Linked DNA regions of Pelodiscus sinensis. The protein of the gene in region 4 purifies or fractionates together with the protein of the main gene of each other region. This does not show direct contact. Links are inferred from orthologs where the notes say so. Each region holds a gene or a part of one and is shown on either strand. Other genes may lie near its edges. The genes, in order: TMPO, ITGB1, GXYLT1 and CANX.

The links.
Region 1: the proteins of CANX (region 4) and TMPO purify together in Homo sapiens (affinity purification with mass spectrometry; 3 studies listed by BioGRID and IntAct, with this or other methods). This does not show direct contact. The link is inferred for Pelodiscus sinensis from reciprocal best matches to the Homo sapiens genes CANX and TMPO.
Region 2: the proteins of CANX (region 4) and ITGB1 purify together in Homo sapiens (affinity purification with mass spectrometry; 3 studies listed by BioGRID and IntAct, with this or other methods). This does not show direct contact. The link is inferred for Pelodiscus sinensis from reciprocal best matches to the Homo sapiens genes CANX and ITGB1.
Region 3: the proteins of CANX (region 4) and GXYLT1 purify together in Homo sapiens (affinity purification with mass spectrometry; 3 studies listed by BioGRID and IntAct, counting the BioPlex papers as one, with this or other methods). This does not show direct contact. The link is inferred for Pelodiscus sinensis from reciprocal best matches to the Homo sapiens genes CANX and GXYLT1.

Annotation. Positions count from the first base shown.
Region 1 is NC_134711.1:83,219,005-83,225,997, reverse strand, and holds the start of TMPO (thymopoietin), read right to left. Parts: upstream 3,013-6,993; 5' UTR 2,620-3,012; coding exon 2,380-2,619; intron 1-2,379. UniProt on the Homo sapiens protein: May help direct the assembly of the nuclear lamina and thereby help maintain the structural organization of the nuclear envelope. Possible receptor for attachment of lamin filaments to the inner nuclear membrane.
Region 2 is NC_134712.1:230,380,002-230,387,285, forward strand, and holds the start of ITGB1 (integrin beta-1), read right to left. Parts: upstream 3,021-7,284; 5' UTR 2,794-3,020; coding exon 2,785-2,793; intron 1-2,784.
Region 3 is NC_134711.1:53,283,499-53,291,128, reverse strand, and holds the start of GXYLT1 (glucoside xylosyltransferase 1), read left to right. Parts: upstream 1-4,621; 5' UTR 4,622-4,734; coding exon 4,735-4,949; intron 4,950-7,630. UniProt on the Homo sapiens protein: Glycosyltransferase which elongates the O-linked glucose attached to EGF-like repeats in the extracellular domain of Notch proteins by catalyzing the addition of xylose.
Region 4 is NC_134727.1:34,174,739-34,182,582, forward strand, and holds the start of CANX (calnexin), read left to right. Parts: upstream 1-4,835; 5' UTR 4,836-4,976; intron 4,977-5,190; exon of another isoform or gene 5,191-5,349; intron 5,350-5,767; exon of another isoform or gene 5,768-5,792; intron 5,793-7,844. UniProt on the Homo sapiens protein: Calcium-binding protein that interacts with newly synthesized monoglucosylated glycoproteins in the endoplasmic reticulum. It may act in assisting protein assembly and/or in the retention within the ER of unassembled protein subunits.

The DNA.
Region 1 (6,993 bases), on a different chromosome or scaffold from region 4:
CTTATCCCAGTCTCTTTCCTCAGTCTCTCCCACCCAATACCCTGGCTCTTTGCGGAACTCTAACCTCCATCCCAATGGTTTCCCAGTCCCAATCTTTTCTCAAATCTTCCAGGTTGTCTCAGGCAACCTATTCCCACTCCCAGCTCTTGAGTAGGCCTGTGTCTGGTCCTCGTTTTATTAGAATCACACAAATTTTCCTACCAAACCACCTGAGCCTAGAAATTAGGGGAGGCTCACTGAGAACACAGAAGACCACCTCCTCTTAGCCTGAGGCAGCCAGCCAGCATGAAAAAGTGCAGCAGAGTTATAAGCAAATGACAAAAGGGTAGTATAATGGGTAATGCTGAACCTTAACAGGTAGGTGGTGCTTCTATACCTGTCAGAAATAAAAAAGTCCTTACCATGAACACCAAGATTAATTTGAAACAAGCAGCAACAGTATGAGGGAAAAGGGTTGTGGAGGAAGGCATGTATATGAGATCACTGAAAAATTAGCTATATTCACAATTTGATATTTTAATTCCTTTGCACATTAAAAAAAGTAACTGTAGCTCAAACCAGCCACTATTACTTAACAGTTCTCTTTTTTTCTACATTTAAGTTTGTTGCCTTTCACCTTTAGGTACACCTGACTCATCGTACACAAATCTAAACCCTTGAGAGCAACTCCTGAATCAGTAGCATTTGTACAGATCCAGGAACTCACTATGTTAACTAAAACTGAAAACTTGTAGGGAAGTTTGAACATGGGAGTACAGCAGAGAAGGCTTCTATGTAGTCTGCCCCTCACAGATACACAGAGCTCAAGTTATTGAACAGATATTGGGACTATATTCTGCAAATTTTAGTAAAGCTGAATGGACCCAAGATGCTAATTTTTAAGCAATATTATTAAATTACAACAATTTATTTTGGATTTCAAATTACAATGATTTATATCTAAACAAGTAGTATTTCAGTCATCACCATGATGAACCCGCAACAGCAGGATACTATTTCAGTGTTCCTTATAAGCTGTGCAGGCATTCAGGAGATTCAAATGCACTTCATCTGATTAGCAGAGCACCCACAGCTATTGCTTAAATAGCTCTTCACTCCATCACAAGGAAAGATTAGCATGCTTTACCAGTTACTAAGCACTTAAGTATCAATGCCACAAGATATGGCTTAGTCACTTTATATAAAATATGCAAGTGCTAGTATCACTGTTCTAAAACATACAATAGACTTATCCAGTCTCAAGAGAGACACATGGATGCTCACTGGACTAAACAAACCTTGTTTGGGGCTAACTTGAACAAGTAGAATAGTTTCACATCTAGCTTACTGAAAAAACCATAACCTTAGTGATGGCATACACTGGAGCTTAATTATCTTCTTGATATTTCCCTTGTCTTCTGCCAACTGTCTGATTATTTGTTAACTCACATTAAATCATGTCAGATACTGCATTTATGCTTCTTGGAAGCAGGAACACATGTAACTGTAGGCAAGTGGGCAACTCTATAGGGGAGAGTAAGTAAGTTTAGATCACAAAGACAATCCTGTGGATAGAAGCCTGGGATCTCTTCCTTTAATGAAGTTTAAGTTTCTGGACTTTCAGACATGGGAAAGCTGGTCTAAAACTTGGTCTTTCTTTATAAAATATTTTACACACAAACAGCAACACCTCTCTCCAATCCGAGTTACAACGTAAGAACCTAACATGCTACAAACACAATCGTTGCAGTTACCATATTATTTTATTTTGCATACTATAAATAAGCATCCACTAAAGAACTTCCCGCCCAGCAACTTCATTACTAAAGTGTACAGAAGCAGGAACAAGACCTGTCTTCCAGCAAAGCCGAACATTACACCCGCAGATATCCTAGCGCTAGCGGTCGGCATTCAGCGAGCTCCTGAGCCTCACACGACAAAGTACGCCCTAGCTTGAAGTAAAGAAAGGAAATCCCTCCGGCAAACTGCCCCTCTCCTTGAGCACAGGCAGGGAACAGCCCCGGCTGCCGCCGCAGCGCACCCCGCACGCTGGAGACCCTCGGGGAAGAGGTCTGTACCGAGAAGCTCATACCGGCCACTGAGAGCCGCTCTTGGCTCGCGGGGGCCGCAGGCGCCGAAAACTCTGGGCTGCGAGGAAGGCACCGCGCTCTCCCCTAACCCTAGTTCAAGCTCCGCAGACAGGCCGCGGCCGCCAGGGCGCGCCCCGCACCTCGGAGAGCGGGAAGCGGCGCACGCCGCCAGCAGCCCGCTCCCCAGGGGCGGGTCTACATGCGCGGGAAGGGTAAAGGGGCGGGAGCGCGGGCGGCAGGCAGGGGCCGCCAGAGCCCTTTGTGTGGCAGCGCTAAGCTCTCCGAGCGGCAGGGGGGGGCGGACTCTTACCCGGCCGGGGGTGCCGCCTCCTCCTCTGCCCCTGGGACCGAGCGGGGTGGGCTCCCTCTCCTCGTCGCTGGAGAAGTCGGGCGCGGCGGGCGCGTTGCGGGCGGTGAGGTGCTGCAGGTAGAGCTGCACGTACACGTCCTTGCGCTGCTCGCCGCCCGGCAGGCTCACATTGTTGGCGATCAGCTCGCTCTTCAGCTTCTCCTTGGTCAGCACCGACGGGTCCGCCAGGAACTCGGGCATCGCCGGCCTCTGCCGCTCTCCCGGGACAGACACCAACAAAGGGGGGAGGGGATGGGAAATCGCCTCCCCTGCCCAGCGCGATGAACCCCACTCGCGGCGCGCTCGGCGAGGGCTTCGCCCGACCTCCAGTAAAGCGCGTCCGGATTGGCCGGGCGACTCACGAAGTGGTGCTGCTATTGGCTGCGGGGGCGAGTGGGGGAGCGGCGCGAGGGTTTCACCAACATTAGTGCTTTGCGCGAGGAGTAGTAACGCAGTTTAAATTCAGCTCAGGCGGGAGAGGGGCTGGCGTGCTGCTGCCTCCCGCCCCCCGCCGGCGAGCACGGCACAAGCTCCCCCTCCCGCCTCTGACGTCTCCTCATTGGCGCCACATGAGCCCTCCCCGCCCAGAGGAGGTCGAGGCCTTTGCTGCTGGAGAAGGGCCGGGGCGACACCGCTGCCTGGGGAGGAAGTGCCCGACTCCCCTCCAGCCGCGCTCTGGCAGGGGCACCGCGGGGTTTGCTGCCCGCTGTTTCAGGGAGACGTGTCAGAGCTTCCTGGAGCCCGGCGCGAAGGCTCCATTGGTGGCGTGGGGACGGTTCCAGCGGCGGCCAGCCCCAGAGGCGTGATCGGAGCACCGCGTGTCCCATGGTTGTCACAACAGGCACGTTCAGTGGGAGGCTTGGGGATGTGCCTCCTCCTCGCACGCGGACCTGGCCTTCCCCAGCCTTGACCTGGGCACTGACCGGGCGGAGGAAATGGACTCCAGCCAAGAAGTTGCTTTTGCTATTAAAAGCTGCGAGTGCTACATAAAAATGAAATAAATCGCTTTACTGTATTGCAGTTTTTAAAGGGACGTTGCATTGCCCTTGAGTGCCGATGCCACAGCTTCTTCAGGAGTGAAGGAACGTGCCTATGAGGAACAGATTGCAGAACTAAACTAAGTGTTTGGGCAACACAGTGGCAAACGAAATTTAATGTTGATAAATGTAAAATAATGTGCATTAGAAAAATAGTCCGAGCTATACATACAAAATGATGGGGACTAATTTAGTTATAACTACTCCAGAGGGAGACCTTGGAGTCATTGTGGCTAGTTCTCTGAACATATCCACTCAATGTGCAGAAGCAGTCAAAAAAGCAAACAAAATCTTAGGAATCAATAAAAAGTGATAGAGAATAAAACAGAATAGCTTATTGCCTCTGTATAAAACTATGGCAAGCCCATATCTTGAATACTGTGTACAGAAGCGGTCGCCTCATTTAAAAAAAAATTGATAGTGGAAAAGGTTCAGAAATGGTTTGGAATGAGTCCCATATGAAGAAAGATTTAAAAGACTGGGGCTTTTCATTTTAGAAAAGAGGAGATTAAAGGGGGGATATGATAGAGGTCTATAATATAAATGATATGGAAGAAGTGAATAAGGAAACATTATTTACTTCTTCCCAAAACAGGAACTAGGGGTCACCAAATGAGATTAATCAGTAGCAGGTTTAAAACAAACAAAAGGAAGTTTTTCTTCATGCAACACACTGACAACCTGTGGAACTCCTTGCCAGAGGATATTGTGAAGACCAGGACGATAGAAGGGTTCAAAAAAGAACTGATAAATTCGTGGAAGTTAGGTCCATCAGTGGCTATTAGCCTAGATGGGTAGAAATGGTGTTTGTCAGAGGCTGGAAATGGATGTCAAGTGGAGGGGTCATTTGATGATTCCCTGTTCTGTTCACTCCTGGGGTATCTGGCATTGGTCACTGTTGGAAGACAGGATTCTGGGATATGTGGACCTTTGGTCTGACCCAGTATAGTCATTCTTATGTTCTTATGACTGAAACCATTGATTGTGCAAGGTCCTTGGGGCAATGAACTTGCTTTCTCACATTTGTAAAAGGTCCTATATATGGCTCTGGCACTAATAATGAAGTCAAATAGCCTGGAAATAAATAACCAATTTGTATTAATAGAATATTTTATGCATTTCTTAAAAAAACAAAGACAACTATTTTTATTTGAATCTAAATATTAGGGCTATCAAAGGATTTAAAATCACCATAGCAAGATATTAAACAGTTGTGATTAATCACAGTTTTAATCATACTGTTAAACATTAATGGAATACCAGTTTAAATTTATTATAAATATTTGGATGCTTTTCTACATTTTCTAATATTTTGATTTCATTAACAACACAAAATACAGAGTGTACATTGTTCACTTTATATTATTTTTATTGCAAATTTTTGCACGTTAAAAAGATAAATAATACCTTTCAATTTTCCTCTAAGTACTGTAGTGCAATCTTTTCGTCATCAAAGTACACCTATAAAGGTAGAATTTTTACTTTTAAAATAATTGGTTTCAATCAAAACCAAAACAATGTAAAACTTAGAGCTTACAAGTCCCTTCAGTTCTACTTCTTGTTCAGCCAATTGCTAAGTCAAACATCTGTTTAAGTTTAGAGGAGATAATGCTAATGCTTCTCATTTAAATGCTCTCAAGTTTTATGTTGTTTTATTTTTGAGCGCAGTTTAAAAAATTACAGTTATAAATTGCACTTTCACGATAAAGAGATTGGACTACAGTACTTTATAAAGTGAATTGAAAAATGTTCTTTCTTTTATCTTTTTTACGGTACAGATATTTTACTATATATTTAGAAATGAATCCGGAACCAAACTCTGCAACAAACCCTGTTGCCAGCTCTGTCTGCATATCTACTCAAGTGACACCATGACAGACCCTAATCATATCAGATTAATCTTGTCATCATCTACAACCCCCAACTTAAACCTGTCCAACACATTATCAATAAACTACAGCCTATACTGGAACAGGATACCATACTCCAAGAGGCTCTGGGAGACAGACCCATAGTCTCCTATAGACAACCACCTAACCTCAAGATGATTCTTACCAAGAATCAAGAACACATATTCCTGCGCATCCAGAAATATAATTTATGCTATCATGTGCCGAAAGTGTCAGTCTGCTATGTACATTGGACAAACATCTCAGACACTTCGCCAAAGGATTAATGCCCACAAAACAGATATCAGACAAGATCACAAAGAAATAACAGTTTCTTGCCATTTCAACCAGAAAGGACACTCTCTCAATGACTTAACCACCTGCATTCTGCTACAAAGACCTTTTACATCTGCACTTGAAAGGGAATCCTCTGAACTGTCATTCATGTTAAAATTCAACACTCTCCGGGAAGAAATGAACAAATGCTCAAACTATCTTACCCATTACCAAGATAGCTTCCCCAATTATCACCTCTAATACCATTAGTTCACAGACATCCCACTCTCCCCACCTCTAATATCATCAATTCACAGACACTTACCTTCCTTCCCCCCCTGTATCCCCCTCCTGTTCTGAAATGTGATTTGTCCTTTTCATATGTGTTCATTTTTTAATTGTATCCTTTGGTATATATGGTTGTGACTATTTTCTTCCACTATTTGATCTGAGGAAGTGGGTCCGGCCCACGAAAGCTCATCATCTAATAAACCATTTTGTTAGTCTTTAAAGTGCTACATTGTCCTGCATTTTGCTTCACCTAATCATATCAGCCACAGTATCAGGGGCTCCAGGGCTGGGGCCAGGGGAAAGTGGCCTCAGGGCTGTAGACAGCAGTGAGCACCGAAGTGCTACACTGTATCTACTCCATGAGGATGAGCATAACTACATTATTGCCCACTGGCTTTCACACGGGGAGTTACAGTGCAACACTTTGATGTGCATTGATGTTCATATCTCTATAGTCAGCTGCAGGTTTAGTGTAGGCATAGACATCATAGCATTGGTTTACACTCAGTTTACAATTTAAAGATTACCCCAACCATAGGCTCTCGAGGCTAAGTTATACCAGCATAGCTATATTAATGTAGCTACATTGGCATTACCTGCAGCATAGATGCAGCCTACACCAAAAGAATTCCCTCCCCCATATGTACAGAAACACCCAGTGAGGGTACCTATGTCAACAAAAACACAGACTTTTTACACCCCTGAGTAATCTTGTTATTTTTATCAGCTTTTTTAGTGTAGACTGTATGGTTAAACCACTGTAGTTATACTGGGGAGTCATCTCTGGTTTACACTTAACATTTAGATTGGCCTTTATACATCATTCAGTCAACTTAGTCTCCCATGTAGACACATCAAGACTAATAGAAAAATCCCTTTCTTGACATAGGTATTGTCAATTGGAGAGATGGAATACCTGTCTCAAAGGAAAAACTTATAGGCTGTTGTGGTGCCCTTTATTCTGGGATGAGTGGCTTTTTTGGTTAGCTTAAACTGCTTCCAAGGCAATATAGGCTAAGCTAGAAAAAAGCACTCATCTACCACAGTAAGAATGTTCACATGGGGAATTATACAAGTAACTA
Region 2 (7,284 bases), on a different chromosome or scaffold from region 4:
CGGGCTGGGTGTTACCAGGCTTTGAACCCCACGCTGCTCCCAGGTGCCACTCCCAGCCACTGCATTCGAGGCATGCTTTCCACTGTTCCCAATTACTGTATCACAATTTCGGCCAATGGGAGCAGTGGGGAAAGCCTCCAGGCAGTGTGTCTGTGTGCCACTGTTCCTCCAGCCAGAGGAACGGGGAGCAGCAGTATGCAGAGCTGCTTGCTCCACTCACAGGCCGGATCCAGCAGCAAACCTCTGGGCTTTCTACCTCCCCCCAACAGGAAGCTGGTGCTGGCATTCCAATCTCATGGGGATACGGGAAGAGCACGACTGGAGCACCAGCATAGACTCCTTGTTGCAGGGGAAGGGGCTGAGTTTTGACTTGTGGCCCATTTGCAAGGTGATTGTGGACCACTAGCGGTCTGTGGACTGCAGTTTGAAAATCACTGAGCTAGGGAGGAGTTGCACCAAGGGGATGAAGATCCACATTTTTTTATCTAAGGCTCTAATGCTGACCTAGCACACTTTAAGAACACTTTCACAGCAAATTTGACAAAATGTAAAGAAGATACCAATGTGAGATTTCTACAGCACTCAACCAAAGATTTAAGCATCTGAAATGCCATCCAAAATCTGAGAGGGATGAGATATAGAGCCTGCTTTCAGAAGTCTTAAAAGAGCAACACTCCGACAGGGAACAACTGAACCACCACCACCAAAAAAAAAAAAAAAAAAAAAAAAATCAACCTTCTGTTGGTGGCACCTGACTCAGATGCTTTGAATTGCTATTTAATAGAACCCATCATGGTCACTGATGCGTGTCCTTTGGAATGACAGCTGATACATGAAAGGACACATGAGTCTTTAGCACATCTAGTACGTAAATATCTTGAGATGCTAGCTACAACAGTGCCATGGAAACATTTGTTCTCACTTTCAGGTGATTTTGTAAACAAGAGCAAACCACATTATCTTCTGCAAATAACCCAAACTTGTTTGTTTGAATGACTGGCTGAACAAGTAGATTCTAAAGTTTTACATTGTTTTATTTTTGAATGCAGTTTTTTGTACACAATTCTACACTTAAGTTTAATTTTCTTGATAAAGAGACTGCACTACAGTATTTGTATTTTAAAAAATGAAAAATGAGTAGTCCTGTAGCATCTTGGAGACTAACAAAAATAATATATTATCATGAGAAGGTCTTGTGGGCACAACCCACTTCTTCAGAAAGCCCACGAAAGCTCATAATATATATTTGTTAGTCACTGAGATGCTACAAGACCACTAGTTTTTTAAGTAACAGTCTCTACCCCCTGAGTACTTATATTAGGTTAATTGAAAAATACTTTTTTTTTTTTACAGTCCAAGAATTTGTAATAAAAAATAAATATAAAGTGAGAACTGTGCACTTTGTATTATGTTCTAATTGAAATCAATATTTTTGAAATATGTAATATTTAAATGAATGGTATTCTGTTAGTTTAACAACTCAATTAATCACAATTAATTTTTTAATCGCTCCACAGCCCTAATTTAATTTCAAACATTTTAAAGGACAAAAGTTAACACTGTTTTATCCTTAATTCATTTGATCTCACTTACTTATTACTAGTTGTTCCCTATTTCCACAAGTTTTATATATATAGCTTTAAGGAGCATTACACAATGCTACTTAATGATTTGCCTGAGGTAAGTAATTTTTGTGACAGGAGCGTGAATCATCAGTAGGGCGGAAATATAAAGTATATCTTTATTACCACGGCCTCATGATTTCAAAAGGCTTATTTAAATCTAGATATTTCTGAATTCACTTGGTCAGTGGCATTACTCAAAGTACTTAAAGAAAACCACAAAATCCAAAATAGCAATCCCTCTCAAGTTTTTTTTTTTTTTTTTTTTTTTTTTTTTTTTTTAACATAATAGAATTTGCAGATCTAGGAGGCTCTCTGTGATTTTTTTTTTTTTTTTTTTACTGTGGCTCGGTCTTTGCTCAAGCCTTCCTTCCCTGTTGCCTTCCTGTCTAAAACTTTTTCGGGACAGGGAAAGACCTTGTCTTTTAACTGTTTTTCTACTGCACCTTAGGAACACATCCAAGTGTGTTAAGAAGTTAGCTAGTACTGTTGGAGTGAACGAGGATTAAGACTGAACTTCCACAGTCTCAAGACACCCACTGCATTTCACAAACGCCACTGAGAAGCAGCGGTGCTTACAGCACCCTTCACAAGGCAGGAGCAGAGGAGATGAGCCCCCACCCTCCCTCCTTTCAGGGAGGCCCGGGACAAAGCGCCCAACCTTATGGAAAGTGCCACGGGGTATGTAGCGGCCACTCCGCACGGGCAAGCCCTGCGGCCGAGCCCCAAGGAGTTGAATGGCTGGGCGGCAGCGGACAAAGGGCCAGGGCATGTCCTTGTCTGGCTTTAGGGCCGGGAGCCCTGGGCCAGGCTGACACGGGCCAGGCCCGGTGAGGGGCAGCCCCGCCCTGCAGCGAACCCGGAGCCAGCCCTGGCGCTTCCCGAAGGTGGGCGGCACTGGCTCCCCGCGCGGCCCAGACCCAGCACCGAGCCGGGTGGCGCCGCACACATTAGCCCCCAGACTGGGCCGGGGCAGCAGCGGCCGGTGCCCTGCACCAGCCCGCTCGGGAGGGGGCCCAGCCCCGCGTACCTGGGGGCCCCAGGCAGCCCCCCCCCCGTCTCTCCCGGGAGCTCGGGCTCCTCGCACAAGGGGGCATGTTGGCCCGCGGCACAAGCGGGCGGAAACCCGCCCCCGCAGCGAGCGCGGCCCCCGGCCCCGTACCTTGGCCATGGCCGCGGGAGAAGGCGGCGGCAGAAGCGCGCTCGGAGCCCGGCTGGCTCAGGTCTGTCCCCACGGATGCCCGGGAGCCCTGGCGCGGTTCCCTGCGTGTCGCGGAGCCCGGCGCCGCTCCCTCCGTCCAGCTCGCTGGGCGCCCTGTGTGCGGGCCGCAGGGGGTGGGAATTGGGTGCGGGCCCAGCCGCGCCGCTCCTCCTCCGCCTCCGGAAGCGCATTCCTCCCTGCTGCCGTCAGGCCCCGCCAGTGGGCGGGGGAGCGCGCAGCTAGGGCCGGGGGAGGGATCGGTGCCCTGTGGGCTCTGGGCGGGAAGGGCCCGGAGCTGGGAACAGGGCACTGGGCCAACTCCCCTACCTCCCGGGACAATCCCGCCCCTGCAGCGCCGCTCGCCCTCGCACCGCTCTGCCCGGGCTGCTGGCAAAGCGTGAGGGACTCCCCCCCGCCAGGTTGCGGCAGTGTGGGCTGCCAACGCGCCAGATTTTCATTGCCAGTTGCGCGATGTTTGGTGTGGCGGCGGCGGCGGCTTATTTGCGGCCTCCTCACCTGGTTCCAAGTGATGGAATGAGACCCGTGGCTAAGAGAGAAAGTGTCTATCCTTCCTAGTTGGAAAGTAGGGAAAGTCTGGTTAAAAAGGGACTCTGGTAGCAGGGGGAGGGACATGTTTGCAGACATGGTGCCTAGACCATCCAGAGGGGCTCTTCTCCCCCACCAAACTGCTTGAATCCCAGCTCACTACAGGTTCCCTGCTGTGCCTCTGACTTTTAAATGTAGTCAGAGCCCCAGTGGGCCCCTTACTACATTTAAAAGACACAAGTGGGAATAGGGAGCATCTTACTCACCCCTAAATTAAATTAATGGAGATTGCCTATCTCCTAGAACTGGAAGGGACCTTGCAAGGTCATTGAGTCCAGTCCCCTGCCTTCATAGCAGGACCAAGCACCATCCCTGACAAATTTTTTGCCCCAAATGGCCTCCACAAGGATTAAACTCACAACCCTGGGTTTAGCAGGCCAATGCTCAAACCACTGAGCTATCCCTCCCCCCTTATTGACTAATACAAGTTGTCGATGGAGACTACTCAATTAGCTGATTAATCAAAATTTAACATCACTAATATGTGTGACATCTTTTCAGTGGCGGCCCATGACTATAGGCCGACTTGGCCATCGCCTAGGGTGCCTCCTTCAATGAGGAGCCTGATGATGACGTCACTCCATTGACAGCCATGCAGGCGGGGGCACTGATCACGCATTCCTCCTGGGCTGCCAGCTGCCGCAGCCCGCCTCAGGCCATGCCTGCATCTTTTGTGTACAGGCAGTCCCCCAGTTACGTGGATCCAACTTATGTCGGATCCTCAGTTACGAACGGAGATTTTCTCGCCCCGGAGGACTGGAACGGCGGGACACCTGGTCCCGCTGCCCGCCTCCTCCGGGGCGAGAAAAGCTGCTCCCTGTCTCCCTGGTCTGCTGGGGGAGCCAGCAGACCAGGGAGACGGGGAGCAAAGCGGCGGAGGACCCGGGGCTGGACCCGCGGCGCTTCCAGCTGATCTGGAAGTGCCACGGTCCGGCCCGGGTCCTCCGCCGCTTTGCTCCGCATCTCCCTGGTCTGCTGGGGGGGGACGCAGCTAGTGCCCCCCCCAGCAGACCAGGGAGACGTGGAGTGAAGCCCGGGGCCTGTGGTAGAGCAGGTGGGGCACTGCCGGTTGGTCCCGCAGCACCGCTCCTTAGCTTAACTGGACCAACCCGGCAGCACCCCAGCTGCTCTGCCCCAGGAGTCCTGATTCAGCCGCTGCTGATCAGTTTCAGCAGCGGCTGAATCAGGACGCTTGGGGCAGAGCAGCTGGGGTGCTGCTGGGTTGGTCCAGTAGCGCCGAGGAGCGGCCGTGCTCCCGAGCAGCACCCGAGCTGCTCTGCCCAGGCGTCCCCAAGTCAGCCGCTGCTGAAACTGACCAGTGGCTGACTACAGGAAGCCGGAGGCAGAGTTGCTCTGCCCTGGGCTTCCTGGAATCAGCTGCTGATCAGTTTCAGCAGCAGCTGACTTGGGGACGCCTGGGGTTCTTAAGTTGAATCTGTATGTAAGTCGGAACTGGTGTCCAGATTCAGCCGCTGTTGAAACTGATCAGTTTCAGCAGCGGCTGAATCTGGATGCCAGTTCCGACTTACATACAGATTCAACTTAAGAACAAACCTACAGACCCTATTTTGTACGTAACCCGGGCACTGCCTGTATTGGGTTTCTTAGGCACATTTGGTTTAGTTAACCATTAGAGATAGATGAATTCATCTAACCACTGGTTCTTATCTATGGGGTTCTGAAAATTTCATTCATGGACTACATTTTAATACAGAAACTGTTCCATGCTCCCACTAATGGCTGTGCAGACCATTTCCTTCTGTGTTTCACTGCATAACACTCATGTGGCAACTACAGTAATTGCTTACATGAAGAGTAATTTTAGAAAAGTGTTTCATGTTTTTAAAGCTATTCTTAAATGCAGTTTAAGGGTTGGCAGTAAAAAGGAAGAGCCAGCTCTGTGGACCACCAGCAAGTGCTCTATTGACTGTCAGTGCTCCATGAAACACAGTTTGAGAACCTCTGATCTCTTTGGGTATGTCTACACAAACAAGAAAAACTCACAACAGTTCCATGCCAGCTGACCTGGCTCAGGGAGTTTGGGTTATAAGGCTGTTTCATTGGTGTTTAGACTTCTGAGCTTGGGTTGGAGCCTCAGCTCTAGGACCTTTTCACACGGTGTGGTTTTTTTTCTTTGCTGTGTAGACATACCCTTTTTGTCTCAATTTCACCAGTAAAATGGAATAATTATACTTGTTTGCCTACTGAGGAATAGTTATTTAGTCTTTGCAAATTGCTTTGATGTTGTAAAGTACTATATAAGTATTAATAATTATTATTTATATTAAAGTAGCAGCTAGTGGTTCTAATAGAAATCAGAACCTCCTTGTGCTAGATACTGTACAAAAGAAAGACACCGTTTCTGCTCTGAAGGGTTTAGAGTCTAAATCAACAAGCCAAAAAGTGAAAGAGGAAGGAGAGAATCCAAGTAACTTTCTTGATATCACTTTGCAGGTCAGTAACAGAGCCAGGTCTCTTGAAAGTCAGTCCAGTGCTCTATCCACTGGATCACACTGTCTCTGTAGTATCAGCACTTTTATTTTCCAGTTCTTTCACTGAGAGCAGAGTTATCCAGGGTATCTTGTCTATTGTTACTATGTGCCTCGATTCTGTACTTTTGTAGCGGGAACATAGTAAGGATGTTAAGTATCGAGTAATTCACGAATTGAATAGTTGATGCATTTTTGCATGAACTATTTGATTAGTTGACAGGGCAGCGCTGCCCCTTTGAAACTCTGCTGCATCATTTCAAAGGGGCAGCACTACACAGCTGATCCTGGGCTCCGTGCGGTGCTCGCCTTTGAAACACCGTGGTTTTTCAAAGAGGCAGTGCCACCACTTTGAAATGCTGCAATATTTCAAAGGGGCAGCACCCCATGGACCCTCGGATCAGCTATGCAGTGCTGCCGCTTATTGGACATTTGCTTATCGGATAGTGGACTAGTCAACTAGTCCTTAACATTCCTAGAACACAGAAGAGTTTTCAGAAGGAAAACACTGGATATCTCCAACAGGAAGGGAGTAATGTGTCCTAGAGGATAAGAATGAAGAAGATGCTAGGCAGAAATTATTATTAGAAAGCATGGTCACTTTGTCCAGGAAGTGATGATGCTAGAGAGTTGCAGTAATACTTTTGATCAGAGCCTCTTTTTGTTTCTTCTCTTCTCTAATGATAACACTTCTTGGGGGCTTCGTCTATACTGCAGCCTTCTTCCACAACAGCTTATGCAAATGAAGTGTGGAGTAGAATATCACCATGCTTCATTTGCATAAGCAATTAGCAGTCTTTTTTGTGCAAGAGACTTTTGCACAAAAAGGAGCTGTGTAGACGGCACCTTTTTGCGCAAAAACACCCTCTTGTGCAAGAGCCGTTCTTCCTCATTTTTTGCACTAAAGCCTCTTGCGCACAAACTGCTGCTAATTAATTATGCAAATGAAGTGCAGTGATATTCTACTCTGTGCTTCATTTGCATAAGCTTTTGTGGAAGCAGGCTGCAGTATAGATGTAGCCTGAGAGTAGGTAAGTGAATTTAGCCAGGCAGCTAGTCAACATCATAAAATGTGGCCATTATGGAGTTGTCGGTTTACATCAGAGTTAGGCTTCCAGCCTAGGACAAGGATCTGAGTGGAGTGAGTCAATAAATACTTGGTGCCTAGTTGGAGAACTAGAGTTGACAACATATTTACAAGGCTTTGTTCGCTATAATCCTGGTTTCCCATGGTGTGTAGCACCTTCCTATGATAAGGTGGCCATTCTCAACTCCTGTTGGTTTTACAATGTTCATCATCTAGCAGGAATGGGTCCTATAAGACAAATCCTAATTTCTGATGAGTACTTGAAATTCCACATGTTAT
Region 3 (7,630 bases), on a different chromosome or scaffold from region 4:
GAAGCATTTTTATTAACAGTTTATCCCATATATTAGTATCACTTCACTCTATATAATTTTGTTTTTAAGAAATTAAACTATGACTGAAGGAAATTCAGTTAAGTCTGCATAGCAGCAACATTTTTTTCACACATGTGTGTCATTGCTGCCAAGTGTGCATACTACTTAAAGAGTTTTTCAAAAGAAGGAATACTTACGTTCTATGACTTTTGGTGTAATCTACAGTATAAAAATTTTCCTGGGATTTGTTGCAGGCAGGGGATAAGCAGGTAGAAACTGAAGGATGTCACTGATGTGCTGAATAAACATATCAACCTTCATGAAGCAGTGTCCCTTTCATGTGGTCAAGCATCCTCCTTCAAATTCCTCCTGAAAACCCAATTCTTTAGTCTTGCTTTCCTCAGCTGACTTCCTATCCTGTGGTACGGGATCCTTCCCTCATCCCTATCTCAGAACTTTTTTTAAATTTTTTACACCTCTGTTAAGATTAAATTGCAAAATATCATATCTTATTCCTTCTTTATATTTCATTTTGTCTCTTATTTTTCTACTTTACTTATATAAATGACCATAAGCAGGGACTGTGTATGTACATGTTTAATATTGATAATAAAGAACTTATAGGATCAGCAATATAAAGATGTGTGGCAACAGTATTTCAAAGGAACTGAATTAAATTGATACTGACACATTAAAATGGCAAAAAAACATAAATCTGCATCAGAACACATTTCAGAACATAAGTTCTCAGAAGTTTAAAAAAACAAAAACGAGAAAAGAATGAAGTTGAATGTATCCCCTGTCAATGGTGTGGTCTAATTATTAAATGAAAATATGTATAGGTTAATAGTTTTAAGTCTACAACAGTGAACTGTTTATTCAAATGAGAAGTTTTATTTGGCGATTAGAGATATTTTCTTAATCTCAGAATTTCCTGAGAAAATAAATGCCAATTCTGGAGTCATTGGCAGTACGGATAGTTATACTGGAGGGAAATTAAGGCTAAATGATAGCACTGGAAAGAGACCTTTCCCATTAAGTTGTATCTTGTGGTGGAGTCAGGACCTCTCTTGTAAGTGGAGGACCTGATGGTGATTGAGGATACGTCTAGACTAAGTTCTTCTTTCGAAAGGAGATATGAAAATCAGCACTAATTTCCATATCTTCTTTCAATTGCTTTTTCGGAAGCAGTTTTTTCAAAAGAGAAAGCAGTTTAGACTGAGTTGTTTTTTCCGGAAGAACCCCCCATACATCATTTTTTAAGAAGAAAGGTTCTTTTGAAAAAGGGGGGTTCTTTAAAAAAAAAAAAACCTGTCTAAACTGCTTTCTCTTCCAAAAAAAATGCATTCGAAAAAGCGATCAGAAGAAGATATGCAAATTAGCACCACATTTGACTACATTCTTTTTTCAAAAGGAGATATGCAAGATGTACCCCGAGATTGTGATCTGAGCAAATAAAGGTTCTCAGGTGGAACATAAGAGTGCTCTCCCTGAAGTTCCAGATGTCTTGTCCGGCTATACTGAAGTGGTTGAGCAGTTACGGTTTGTGCCATAATCAAGGGAGTCAGAGCCAGTACGATTGGTAGCTCAGGAGCTCAATGCTTGCCTTTTGCTGGTATGATCAGTTCTCAAAGTTTAGGTGCCAGAGATGCTCTTGCCACTGCAGCACGGTATGGTGCTAATGGAGCCCTGGATTTGTGGACTTCCTTGTCATGACCCTGACACATTAAGGACAATTTAAGTCCTCCTTGGCTGAGTGGAAAGGCTTGTTCAACTTAGTTAGGGTTGTATCCAACTTCCTTAAAAGAGGATTTAGAGGCGGGTTTGACTAGGATTTATGAAAACTTTCCCTGTCCTCCCACCTAGACCGTGACAGGAGCATGTGGCATAGTTCCCCTGATCCTAAATGAGGCCATGCACCAGGAAGGGCACTCTTTGCTGAGTCAGGCTGAAGTATGGAGAGGGTCCGCAGCATGGGTCCAATTGCAACTTCTTCGTCTTCTCCATTAAGTGTAAGGTGAAGCTCCTGCAGGTGCAGCTGGGGAAAGTATGTCTCATACTGAACCCTGCCACAATGTGAGCTTCCCCAAGGCAACATAGGCTATGCTGATAGCCATCACTTACTGAAAAGGAGCACAGATTTTGAAGCCTGGATTCCAGGGAATTAGCAGGGGGCCAGGGGACGGGAAGGTGGAATTCCACAGGATGGAGACAATTATAAAGCTTAATTTAAACCAACGATCTCATTCTCCTAGCCCACTGAGAAGCAGTGGATGTGGTATACCTAGACTTTAGTAAGGCATTTGATACGGTCTCGCATGATATTCTTATCAATAAACTGGGCAAATACAATTTAAATGGGGCTACTATAAGGTGGGTGCATAACTGGCTGGATAACCGTACTCAGAGAGTAGTTATTAATGGTTCAAAATCCTGCTGGAAAGGTATAACAAGTGGGGTTCCACAGGGGTCTGTTTTGGGACTGGCTCTGTTCAATATCTTCATCAACGATTTAGATATTGGCAGAAAGTTCGCTTGTTAAGTTTGCAGATGATACCAAGCTGGGAGGGGTTGCAACTAATCTGGAGGATAGGGTCATAATTCAAAATGATCTGGACAAATTGGAGAAATGGTCTGAGGTAAACAGGATGAAGTTTAATAAAGACAAATGCAAAGTGCTCCACTTAGGAAGGAACAATCAGTTTCACACATACAGAATGGGAAGCGACTGTCTAGGAAGGAGAATGGCAGAAGGGGATCTAGGGGTTTTAGTGGACCACAAGCTGAATGAGAGTCAGCAGTGTGATGCTGTTGCAAAAAAAGCAAACATAATGCATCTCAGAATCAACAGGTGTGTTGTTAGCAAGACACGAGAAGTCATTCTTCTGCTCTACTCTGCGCTAGTTAGGCCTCAGTTGGAGTATTGTGTCCAGTTCTGGGCACCGCATTTCAAGAAGGATGTGGAGAAATTGGAGAGGGTCCAAAGAAGAGCAACAAGAATGTTTAAAGGTATAGAGAACATGACCTATGAAGGAAGGCTGAAAGAATTGGGTTTGTTTAGTTTAGAAAAGAGAAGATTGAGAGGGGACATGATAGCCTTTTTCAGGTATCTATAAGGAGGAGGGAGAAAACTTGTTCATCTTGGCCTCTGAGGATAGGACAAGAAGCAATGGGCTTAAACTGCAGCAAGGGAGGTTTAGGTTGGACATTAGGAAAAAGTTCCTAACTGTCAGGGTGGTTAAACACTGGAATAAATTGCCCAGGGAGGTGGTGGAATCTCCATCTCTGGAGATATTTAAGAGTAGGTTAGATAAATGTCTATCAAGGATGGTCTAGACAGTATTTGGTCCTACCATGAGGGCAGGGGACTGGATTCGATGACCTCTCAAGGTCCCTTCCAGTGCTAGTATTCTATGATTCTATGGGCCATTCCCAGCTAGAGTGATAGACTAAACTAGACTAGAGAAACCAAGGCAGTTCGTAGTTTTAACGTGTGTTAGCAAGTAGAATTAAAGAATAGCATGTAGAATTAAAGCACGTAAGGTTACCTTGTCCTGATAATTCATATAAAAACTAAAAATATACTTGGTTTTCAGTCACATTTTACACTGCACTGAGTTAAGTCCATACTCCCCCCCCCCCCCCCCCCCACACACACACAAAATGTAGTTTGAATGGCTGCTCAGATTGAGAGTTGCATCTGGAATTTCCTAATAGCTAGTTTCCAAGACAAAAGTTGTGATCTTTTTGCTTAAAGGGAAGGGGATCAGCCCTTCACCAAGATAGCAGCAATGACAGCAACCACCTAAGGAAAGTTATGTTTTCTCCCCTCCCACAAAAGGACAGCTCATCTCTGCTAGCCTCATCTACAAGTCAGAGAGAGAAGAGGGGAAACTTTGTTTTAATTGGTATGTTGCAAGCATAGGCTACTATCTGCCAACCCTGTTAGAGTGGAGGTCAGTCACTCTTTAATGCTGCAGAAATTAACAAAGCTTTTGGGTGCACAGCATTGGGTCCGGAGATGCACCTCTTGAGTACCATGCTAGTGCCCCTGCAGGAGTGTCCTTAGGCATAGGCAGCAGCCTAGTTGCCCCAAATTTAGTGGGTCTCCAGCCCGTGCTTGTACCTTTTGCCTGCTGCTCTGAAGCTGCAGCTGAGCCTCCCTTCCTATCCTGCTCTAGGGTTGCCAACTCTTCAGGAACTGGGCCACTGGGTGCAACTGCAGCAGACAGCAGCTTGTCTGTGAAAGTTGGCAGCCTCCTGCCCCTGCAGCTTGTGCCTCCCGCCCACTCGCTCGGGGGGAGGTGGGAGCCAGAGTTGGGCTGCATAGGTGATCAGTGCTAGTAGGAATGGCCCTGCACCCCCATCTTACTGCCCCCACCACAGCGCCCTTTCTTCCAATGTCCCCCTTGCATAGGTGACTCGTGGTAGCACTCAGGAGGTGCACTGCGCCCCATGGCCCTGCCAAAATTTTAACTGCTAAATGGGGTGGCCCTACCCCCGCAGCCGCCTGTCGCCCCCTCCAGGACGCCTCATCATCTCGCCGTGGCAGGCACCGCCATGGGGCGCCCTGGCCTCACCCATTTGCCCCACCCCGGCACCTGGCTCCTCCCAGCCCCGCCCTCTCGGCGAAAGCCTGCCCCACACCCGGGGGACGCTACCGCTACCTCAACGCGGCGAGGGCCTGTCTGAGCCCCGCGCGGGGCTGCGCTTGGGCCCTGCCGGCGGGGCGGGATGCGGCGCTACGTGCGCGTGGCGCTGCTGTGCCTGGGCTGCGGCTTGTGCTCGCTGCTCTACGGCTCCAGCCAGCTGGCCCTGGAGCAGGAGCCCGGCGCGTGGAAGCCGCGGGCCCGAGACTCCGCCGCTCCGGTCCGCAGACAGCGCGGCAGCGGCGGCGGGAGGGCAGCGGCGGGAAGCGCAGGCCGCGGGGAGCCGGAGCAGCCAGACAGGTACGGATCGGCCCCGTCCCCTCAGCCTGGCTGCCCCGTCCTCCCTACGCCGGGGGGTGTTACCGGACCCGCGCCGGGGCTTTCCCGGAGCTGGGCGGCTCCAGCCCCGGCATCCACGGCGCTCTGCTGCCGGCGGGGAGCTGCCAGCGCGAGTCGCTTTTCCGCAGGAAAGTTTGCGAAGCACTTTTCAGGCCCTGCCCCCGCCAGGCTGGAGCTGGAGCAGTCCCGCCGCGCTGCGGCTGCTCGCGTCTCCTCCTGGCAGCGGGAGCGCTACTTAGCCGGGGTCTCAGCAGCCAGGTCTGGAGGGACTGGACCGGACCCATTGGCTCTGCCCCGACCCCCGGGAGCAATGGCGACGCGCTCTCTGTACCAGCTGGTGTCACATCCCGGAGGCGGCGCCTCTCTCCATCACATTATAGCAGCGGCTCAGCCTGTGGGCTGCTGGGGCCGCTAAATGCGTCATGACCCTACTTTAATGGGGTCGCCCCAGCTGGTGTTAGTTGCTTGCGGAGTCAGGGGGAAGCTGAAACACAAACGCAGGTTGCAGCCACCTCCCCCGCATGGACGGGGTCGAGCTTTGATCCTTCCTCTTGGAGTGGTAAAATAATTGTATCATTAGAAGGGAGTTGTGGTGCAATGAAGTTTGGGAACCCATGAGTTATAGTAATCTTGTAGGGCTGTTGTTTTAAACCCCCTCTAGGGGGCCATGAGCAGGTTTTCGGCGGTCCTCCATGCATGGCCAGCATTAGACTTGCTGGGGTTCAGGGCAGAAATTCCTGCCATCCAGGGTGGAAGCCGAAGTTTTAGCAACTTAGCTTCCTGGAGATCTGTGTGGCATGGGGCCCCAGACAATTCCACTATTGCTATCCTCTAATGCTGGCCTTGGCTTTTATATAGAAGAACAGTTGTGGCATACATGGGCTGGGGGGGAGGGAGTTATTGTATGTTAGGGGGCCTCAGATGGAGAAAGCTTTTGAACCTCTGTAACAGGGTGTACGATGAAAGGGGTGGGGTTAATCTAGTTTGGCTAGGAAATTACATGTGATTTGTAGTTTGTGTAGGTGGTTTAAACAAATATAATAAGGTCTTGAAAAATAGCACTCTGATAAGATAGGAGAAAGGTGGCATCTAGTCAGACAAGTTTTCAGGGGAAGTTTGTCATGTGACCAATAAGACAAAATGTGTCTGGGAAAAGGGTCTCAAATTATAGAAGATTGTTTAAAAACTGGTTCTAACAGATTAAGCAAAGTAATTTTTAATGTGATAAATGTATAATGTCTTGTTGCACACCAATGATATAATAAAATATGGACCTTTGTAAGAAGATAAAACGTCAGGTGCAGCTGGTTTTAGGATTCATACATAGATAATTTGAAAGAGAGAGACCCAGACACCATATCCTGTTTTAGCCAAGGCCCAGAAAGGGGTTGTACTCAAACAGATCAAAATGTGGTTTGTTTGCTTTTAGCTGAGCTAATAATGCTCAATAAGTTATCAGTTATTTTTAGAACTGTATAAAGGAGCAAGGCTTTTTCGGGTATTTATCAGATCCTATATGATCATGTTGGAGCAGACCAGGATGAGAGTATTATCCCAGGACTGATCCTTTCATGAGTATTCTGAACAAATGCTTATGAATGTTTGCTACTGTATCAATGTAGTAAGTAGTTGCTTATTATTTAGACATTTAGAGCAGGGGTTCTCAAACTTCATTGCACCATGACCCCTTTCTGACAACAAAAATTACTACACAACCCCAGAAGGTGGGACTGAAGCCTGAGTCCCACTTCCCCAGATTGGGAGGGGGTGGACGGAAAGCCAAAGCTGAAGGGCTTCAGCCTCAGATAGGGGCGTGTAACCTAGCCCTGACATCTAGGTTGAAGCCCTTGGTTTTGAGGCCTGGGGCTTCGGCTTGGCTTTTGAACCCCAGCAATTCTAAGCCAGCCCAAGAGACCCACAGTTTGAGAACCACTGGTTTAGAACAATTATAAAAATGCTACATATCTTTTTATTTAATTGAGAAATGTATGGTTAAATTATTGTCTTGTTCTACCTGTATTAATTAAATGAATAATAATTTTGACATAGTGACGATTTCAAAGCAGTATCATTGACATTAATTGCAATTTCTCTAAATGCTGCATCCCACTTGTTCCCCAAGAAGGTTGTGACCTATATTCTGGGGCCACAATAGAGTTCTTTCCTAGAGCAATTTAATGATGTAAGGGAAATGAGGATGTACTTTAGGTACTTCCGTAGAAGAATTCTTGGTACAGCATGGTGAATACCACTGCAATTTTAAGTGAATTTATGGTTGAAATGATGTCATGGTGATATTATATATAATGGTATTAATTCTAACATTCCAATATTGGATAAAACATTTAGGCAGAAAATGTTTTTTTTTTTTTTAAGTTCACTATATCTCTTTGGTTCATTATTGACAGGGGTTTTTTTGGTTCTAAGGAAAAGTTCACTTGATTGCACTTTAATGTCCCATTTGAATACTATTTAAATAACTCGTGCCAAGAAAGTACTTTCTATTTTAAATGTTCTGAAATATCTAATAATTGAACAAACAGCAGTGTTTGTTTGCACAGTAGAGTCTAATCAGACTCTTTATTTATTCTAGTAAAGGAATTAATGTTACTGAATACTACATGACTGCATCATAGGTTTGT
Region 4 (7,844 bases):
AAGATTCTGGGCTCTCTGACTCACCCTTAGTTGTGGTCATCTCCCCTCACACCACATTTGTGGTGTTGCCCTCCTTAAAATTTATTTTAAAAAACCAGGAATGGTTTCCTTTAGACTGCAGTTAACCAGTGACTACAGGTAAACTTTCTGATGTATGTATTTTAAAACACCAACAATGACCTCCTGTCATGGAGCTGTGTTTTCCCTGTGGTGTCTGTCATCTCTCTCGCTTTCATCACCCGTCTTGGCATTCTTTGGGTGGATCTCAGTAACCTGTGCTTGCTTAAACACCAACTCAGCCAAAACTCTGGTGTGTGCTGCTTTTCAGTATACCCAAAACAGTTTTACATTAACAAAAAAAAATCCTGTTATACCCTGACCTGGGCAATACATTCAGACACTACTAGCACAGCACCCATCCTTTGTTAGAACAGGCCACTCAAGTGGTATCTATCTAGAAGTTATGGTTAATGGTGCTAGCAGTCTGTCTCAACTTTCCCTAATTTTTGATCCCTATTTACTGCTAGCCTACACTGACCTTTTTGTAAGCTATGCAGAGGGAATAGGAGCAAGAGACTCCTTCGTTTTCATCCTTGCTGTGCCAGTAATTTCTTGTGTGATCTTACAAATACTGCTCCTCCTCTCAGTGTCTCAGTTTCCTATTCTAAACAATGGGGAACAGTACTTTCCCCACTTCACAACATTGGTAGGAAAATTATGAAGCTCATGTTTGCAACATACTTATCATTTACATAACATTTTACATCTACGGTGCTATATCTTGTTTCAGAGAAATGAATGCAGCATAGCTTAGATTTTTCTGCATGATATAGAAAACGTTATCAGAATTTTACATCAGTATTGTCTCAGTGGCACGCATAATAAACTGGGCTGTGTATGTGCATAACTGCCATCTACTGGATAGAATTGGAAGAGCCCAACAATGAATCACAAAACGGTGTTCTGCTATTGGAGAGTCTTCTTTTAGTTTGTATTTGTGGAACAAAAGAGTGGGAATTCTGTCCTGACTGTTGCAGTGAAGTCCTAAGTGGTGAGCAGCACAGTAATATATGTGGAGACCAGGTATGCAGGTATAAAAATGTCATTTAAAAAAAATCACACCCCAAGGCCTCAGATGTAGTGCTAGGATGGCCATTGACAGATCTCCAGAGTACTTCTTGCATGGTGTGGGCCTGCCACCTGCCAGAATGGCCTCTCAAGGACAACTAGCTCCTACTGCATGCCCCGTCAGTAGTGACACCAGGGCTGTGTCTACATTGGCGCTATCTTGCGCCAAAGCAGCCGCTTTTGCACAAAAACATGCTGCCTGTCTACACTGACGGGGAGTTCTTGTGCAAGAACACTGATGTTCTAATATGTGAAATCAGTGCTTCTTGCGCAAGAACTATGATGCTCCCGCTCAGGAATAAGCCCTTTTCCACAACTGTTCTTGTGCAAGAGGCCAGTGTAGACAGGCAACATGAATTTCTTGCGCAAGAAAGCCCGATGGTTAAAATGGCCATCAGAGCTTTCTTGCACAAGAGAGCATCTACACTGGCACGGATGCTCTTGCGCAAAAGCAAATCTCTTGCACAAAGGCACATGCCAGTGTAGATGCTCTCTTGTGCAAATACTTTAACGCAAGAACTCTTCCATTAAAGAGTATTTGCGCAAGATCATGCCAATGTAGATGTAGCCCTGGACTGTCTGGCTTAAAACTTTCAGAGGGTTAGCCAAGTTAGGCTGTAACAGGAAAAACTTAAAACACAACAAATAGTCTGGTAGCACTTTAAAGACTAATAAAACACATAGATGATATCATGAGTTTTCGTGGGCACAGCCCACTTCTTCAGATGACTAGAGAATGGAAGGCCTGCCTAGATCCTGCATGTCCTCTTTTTAGGCTTGCTCTCAGTTGGTCACAGCTCTATGTTTTGAGGAGTGGGTTTTGGGTAACGTACAGTGCTCAGGATGAAAGGGAAGGATGTGCAAGTGTGTTGAGAGGTGTGTTATCAAATTGCTGTAACTGTCTTGCAGTTACAGATTGGCAGACTTAGGCTGAAGAAAAAGACTAGCAGCAGGCAAAATACAGCCTGTTTGCCACAGCCTCAGGCCACTCAAAGCAGCCAGCTGCTGAGGCCTTGTGCGTCTAGGCACTGTGTACCCCTTGCAGAAGTGGGGGAAACTTTGTGCGCTGCCCCCACCCCCAGCCCAATCATCACAACTCCCATTGGCTGAGATTGTGCTGGGGGTAAGGGCAGCATGTGAAGTCCCTGTCCCGTCCCCGCCCCGCAGCACAGTGCAGAGGAACATGGCCCCAAGCAGCCAGCCACTTTGAGCAGTCTGGGGTTGCCTGAGTCCCACTGGGCAGCTGACAAAGCACTGCCTACCAGCCAGAACCTTCATTTGGCATCCCACCCCCTCCCATACCCCAACTCTCTGCCCCAGGTAACCACCCAAATCCTTGGCACCCCTCTGGTACCCCTACCCCAGGTCACAACTCCCTCCCAGACTCACGTGCCCTCCTATGCTTCTCTCCAGTCTAGAATCCTCTCTTGCACCGTGTGACGGGGTTTTGGAGCGTAAGCTGCCGCCGCTGAGGGCAGGGCCCAGCGAGCCCTCCCTCTGTCTGTCTTAACCTCCCCGGGTCGGCTATATGGGTGCGAGCCTCTGCCCCAAGTCTGAGGGCAGGGCCCTGTGGGCCCGCCAACCCTGTGGGGACTCTGGCCCTCCCTGTAAGAACTTTCTCCATCAGATTAGGCTTGTGGATGGATGAGTGGATCGAGGAGGTGTAGGGGGACCCGGGCCCTCCCTCTCCACTGGGTCCCAGCCCGGGGCCCTTAGGGTGGGCTTGGCCGTCCCTACCCAGCTGATGGGGATTCCACCCGAAGCTCTCCAGCCCACAGGCACCAGAAGCGCTGTGCCCTGGGCTGCTTCCTAACACCCCCTCGACTATTGGGTCCCTCTTTGGGGACCCCAAGAGTTATCCTTCCGGCGGGTCACGATGATCTCTGCGCGGAGTTCTGGTTTGCCCGGCCACTTTCCAGCTTTTGCCACCGAGGAGGAATGAACCGTTTCCCCCGATTCTGCAGGCTGTCCCCAAAGCTGGAGCCACCCCTCCATCTTCTGCTCTCGTCCTTTTCAAGGGTGCCGCCATGTTGCGCTTGGGAGCATGGTTCTGCCCCCTGCCGTAATCCCCACAGGCGTCCAGCCCCGGGCAGGGGTTCCTCCCTCCTCTGGGAGGGCCTGTGTTGCTACCGGGGCTGGCCTCAGGGCTGGGGTGGTGATCGGGGTCCCGCCAGGGGTGGCCCTGGCTCGAGCCACCCCCCCACTTTCCCCTCCGTCTGCCGCTACCTCCTAACCTCTGCCCCAGGTTGGGCCCTGCCACGGGTGCCACGCGGGATGCCGTGGCGGCGCTCGGCTGCCCCTCTCCCCGGCCATGATCGGCTGCCACGGCTTCCACGCGGCTTGCAGCCAGCAGCTCAGCCCCCGCCGCACTCTCCAGAGTGCGGGCTGTGTCCGGCCCATCACACACCTATACCCCCTTCCTGACCCTGCACCCCCTACTTTGTACCCCAATCTCCTGCCCCAGTGTACCCAAACCTTCTGCACCCCTCTCCCAGGTCAGAGTCCTCTTCTGCATTCAATCCCCTGCCCCAGGTAACACTTCACTCAAACTCCCTCTCACACCCTGCACCCTCGCTGCACTCCAGTCCCCTACCCTGAGCTCCCATTTATTCCCATCTCTGTGCCATACCATGGCATGCCCTCCATAGAAAAGTGCAGCTCTTGACCACTTACCAAAATCTTGGAGTGGCCCCCCCCATCAAAAATTATTGCCCACCTCTGGAACAGACTGAGGGATAACAGTTCCTTGGTTGTGCCTTAAGCACTAGCCCCTATGCAGATCTCTGCCAGCTGTCCCGCCCCACCTCCTATGTTGACCTCTTCCAGCCCTCTCAACCCTTGCCCCAGCACTAGCCCCCAGAAGCAACTGGTGAGGTAGTTTCCAGGGGGGAAAGCAGCCATATGCTCCCCCCACAACCTGAGGAAGGCCTGGAACAACCCTCCTCTGCCCCAAGCCCTGCCTCTCTCTACCCCTTCCCCACCCTTGTTCCTCTCCCACCCCATCTCTTCCTTCTGCCACACCACTTCCAGTGAGTGTAGGGGCAGTCCCACCACTCCCCAAGAGCAGCACCAGCAAGAACTGCCTTACTATGCTTTCCCCGCATCAGCCCTGCTGGGGAGTGTGTGCGTATGGGCTCCAGCAGCTGTTGCTGGTCAGCCCTTCAGGGGTCAGTGCCGCCCTCCCCCTGCACTCATGGATAGTGCCACAGCAGAGAAAGCCTCTGCTAGTTCCCACCACCCCTCCCAGCATTGGCCTCTTATGGCTTCTTAGCAGAGCACTCACAGCTGGGTTTTGATTTTACTGGTGGTGCACATTTGCATGTGCCTCAGTGCACATACAATTATTCTGCACATGGACAGAACAGAGGGAACATTGCTGCCAGCTCCCCCTTCCCAGCACTGGCCCCTATCCTGGCCTAGCGGCTACACTGCTCCCAGGAGCAAGGACAGGACCTAGGCACCGCTCCTTTAAGAAACCCAACGCTTCCTCCTGCAGGAATCTGATTCTTCTTCTCTCACGCTCCACCCACCTCCCCGTGTTAGCCAATCAGCGCACACTTCCTGCGCAAGCGGCCAGCCAATCACCGCGCTCCACGAAGGGCAGCGCCGTAGGGGCGTCGCTTAAGACGGGAGAAGCGGCGCCATTGACCAATGGGAATGCGACATACGCTCCGGCGCGGGAGGTCGATTGCTGGCTCAATCAATGGGGAGGTAGGAGTGGGGCGGAGCTAGCGCGCGGTAGATAGGCGGGCGGGAGGGCAGGCGCGCGCGCGGGCGGCCGCTCCGGCTAGGACACGTGACGGGGGTGTTGAGGCTGCGGACGGCGGCTGCGGGGGGCGCGTGGCGAGGTGAGTGGGGGTAACCCCCGCCCGGTAGAATCGCAAGGCCGGGCCTGCTTCTCTTCCCCCCCCCCCCGGGCTGCCGGGGAAGGCTCTGCCCGCGGGGCATGCTGGGGCATTGGCGGGGGGCGAGGGCGCGAAGGGCCGGGGGTTGGGGTGGCGGGCGCGGAGTTCGCAGGCGCGGGGCGTGGCAGGGCTCGGCGTGAGGGGGAGCGAAGCCCTGTGGGACGCGGCGGGGCTGGGCCTGTAACGGGTTTGCGAAGCCGGGGGGGGGGGGGGTCGGTGCGGCCCCCGCGTGTCCGTTGCCAGTCCCGGCTGGGAACCCGCCGGCGGAGCCCGGGACGGGCGAACGGAGGCCGGCGCGTGGCCAGCCGCGTCCAAGGTGCGCGCAGGGCTGGGTGCCGCGGCTCTTCCATTCCCCCCTCTGGGCTCGACCAGTGGCGGGCGAGGCAGCCCGTTCTGGTAGCTTCTTGTCGTGGGTGGGGCGAGCGACTGACACTGGCCCGCGTGGCCGAGGGCTGCGGGGGCATGTGCTCATCCCAGTGCGATGCGGCGCAGAGACTGTGGGCTTGGGCGGAGGCGAGGTGGAGGCCGAGCTGGTGGGGTTTTAATATGCGTACGGGGGAGGTGAAGTCACTAGGACTGGATCTGCCCTTGCCAAAAATCGGGGTGTTCAGAAATGGCTCTTCTGACCGGGCGTTTCTGCAGAGGGTGAAAGATGCAATCAGGACTGGAGCAGTATGACTGGAGGGAAACGGGTGGAAGTTACTGGAATGAAAGAGTTCGGACCACAGAAATAAGAGTGGAGGAGGAAACAGAAATAAGGTGTGGAGGAGGAAACGGAAATTAAACAATATGCCTAGTAAAAGGCATGTAAAACAAAGGTGACCTATAAAGTGCAGCACTTTATACAATTTAAAATGTATATCTCCTGAACATAGCTTCTATTTTTTTTTTTTAAAGCTGTGTGTCTTTTTCAAGGCAGTATGTAATGGAACCCTTGCTGCTGTTCATTGTGGTGGTCTGGCATCACACAGACCTTGAGTTAAAGTAGATGCTTTCTGTCTTGCTACCTCTAATCTTTTTAGATAGCTCTGAATGGGAAAGTAAAGGGAGAGTACTCTGGACTGAACAAGAAATGCAGCGATTGAATTACAGAGTAAGCAGCCATCTTCTTGGAACTTTTATCTGAGTTGACAACTGCCTTCGAGTATCATGTCTGCATAGAGCCTGAATTAATTTTTCATGGCAAATATCCAATAGTAGTAGTAGTAGTAGTAAATATTCATTAAAATGTGGAAGGTAATTGACTTATCTCTGTTAGCAGTGCTCTTTAGTTGCTGCAACAATTTTTGCAAATGGTTTTATATTTGCAAAAATATAGAATATAAAAATATTCTAGTCACACTAGAATGGTTTGCAGTTTGTGTGCACTTGAAAATCAGGCTTAGGAGTGTTCTTGACTAGAGGTGTGTGTATCAGTTACCTATCCTGATTTGGCAATATTGTTGTCTGGCTCTAGGTGTGGTGCCCCAGAGAACTTGAAGGCTGGTTTATAGGCAGAATGATAGTAACATCAGTGTGCGCTAGTGAAATTGGGGAGGTGACAACGCATAGGATAATACATCTTTGAATAACAACCACCGAGAACAATAAAATATTTGCATTTATGTTCAGTCTGCAGTTAGTTCTAACTTGCAAAACTCTCATAATGGTCTTTTCAAAGATACTATTAAAATCCAGCCATAAAATCACCTGGCTTCAGCCCAAAGTACTTTCACTTAATTCTAAAATTATTGTGTATAAACTTCTTAGACTCAATAGAAATGTTGTTTAAAATACACTGAAATTTCTCTACACCATTTACAATTGAAATGCTACAGTAATGGAGTAGGGCAGGCGTTGGGAACCTTTTTTCTTATCAGGGGCCATTGACCTCCAGAAAAACATCAATAGTGGGCCATATTCAGCTCTGTCAGGGAGGGTGTTGAGGGTTGGGCCAAAACGAGAACTTTGAAGTGTAGAATGGAGTTCAAAATTGGGATGTAGGAGGGGGTGAGGGCTCTGAGTGGGGGTGCAGGCTCTGGGCTGGGATTGAGGGGTTTGGTGTGCAGGAGGGGGCTCCAGGCAAGGAGTGAGGATGTGGGTTTTTAGAGAGCGTTTGGGTGCAAGAGGGTGCTTAGAGCTGGGGCAAAGGGATGGGATGTAGGAGCTTACCTCAGGCAGCTCCCATTCACAGTACTGTGGTGCTAAAGCAGGCTCCCCACCTGCCCCGATCCTGTACCTCTGCTGCAAAGCGGCCATAGCTGGCATTTCCCTGTGGTCCCTCATGCGGGGCGGGGGGCCGGGGGAAGAAGACAACACACATGCTGTCCTTGCCTGCAGGTGTCACCCCTGAAGCTTCATGAGCAAGTGGTGGTGCTGACAATTACAGCCTGGCCTGGGGGGGGGGCGCGGCGCAACACACCAAGGCTCAGGGCTTTTAGCCTGTGGCATAGAGACTTGATGCTGGCCAGATTAATTTAATCAGGGGGGTCTTTAATGTGACACCATCCCTACAGTTAGTTTTTAAACATTTCCCTTCCAACAGCTTCTGATCCTAAGAATTCAGTGTAACTTACTCAGTTTTTTCCCAAATAAACTTAACTTTGTCCCCTTCTTCCCTCTCCTGCCCATTCTGCATTTATGGCATTCATATTCCTGTCTCTTCAGTGCTTGTCTTCATCCATTTAACTTGGCACCATAATGGAAAACTCCACCTGGAAGAAAGGCTGTTGCTTTTGATCCCAAGACAAATTTGAGTTGGTTTGCAAAAGTGACAGCAAGACTGCTAAGTATGCTTTTCCCACTAAGTGAATTCTTGTATCTTGAGGTATT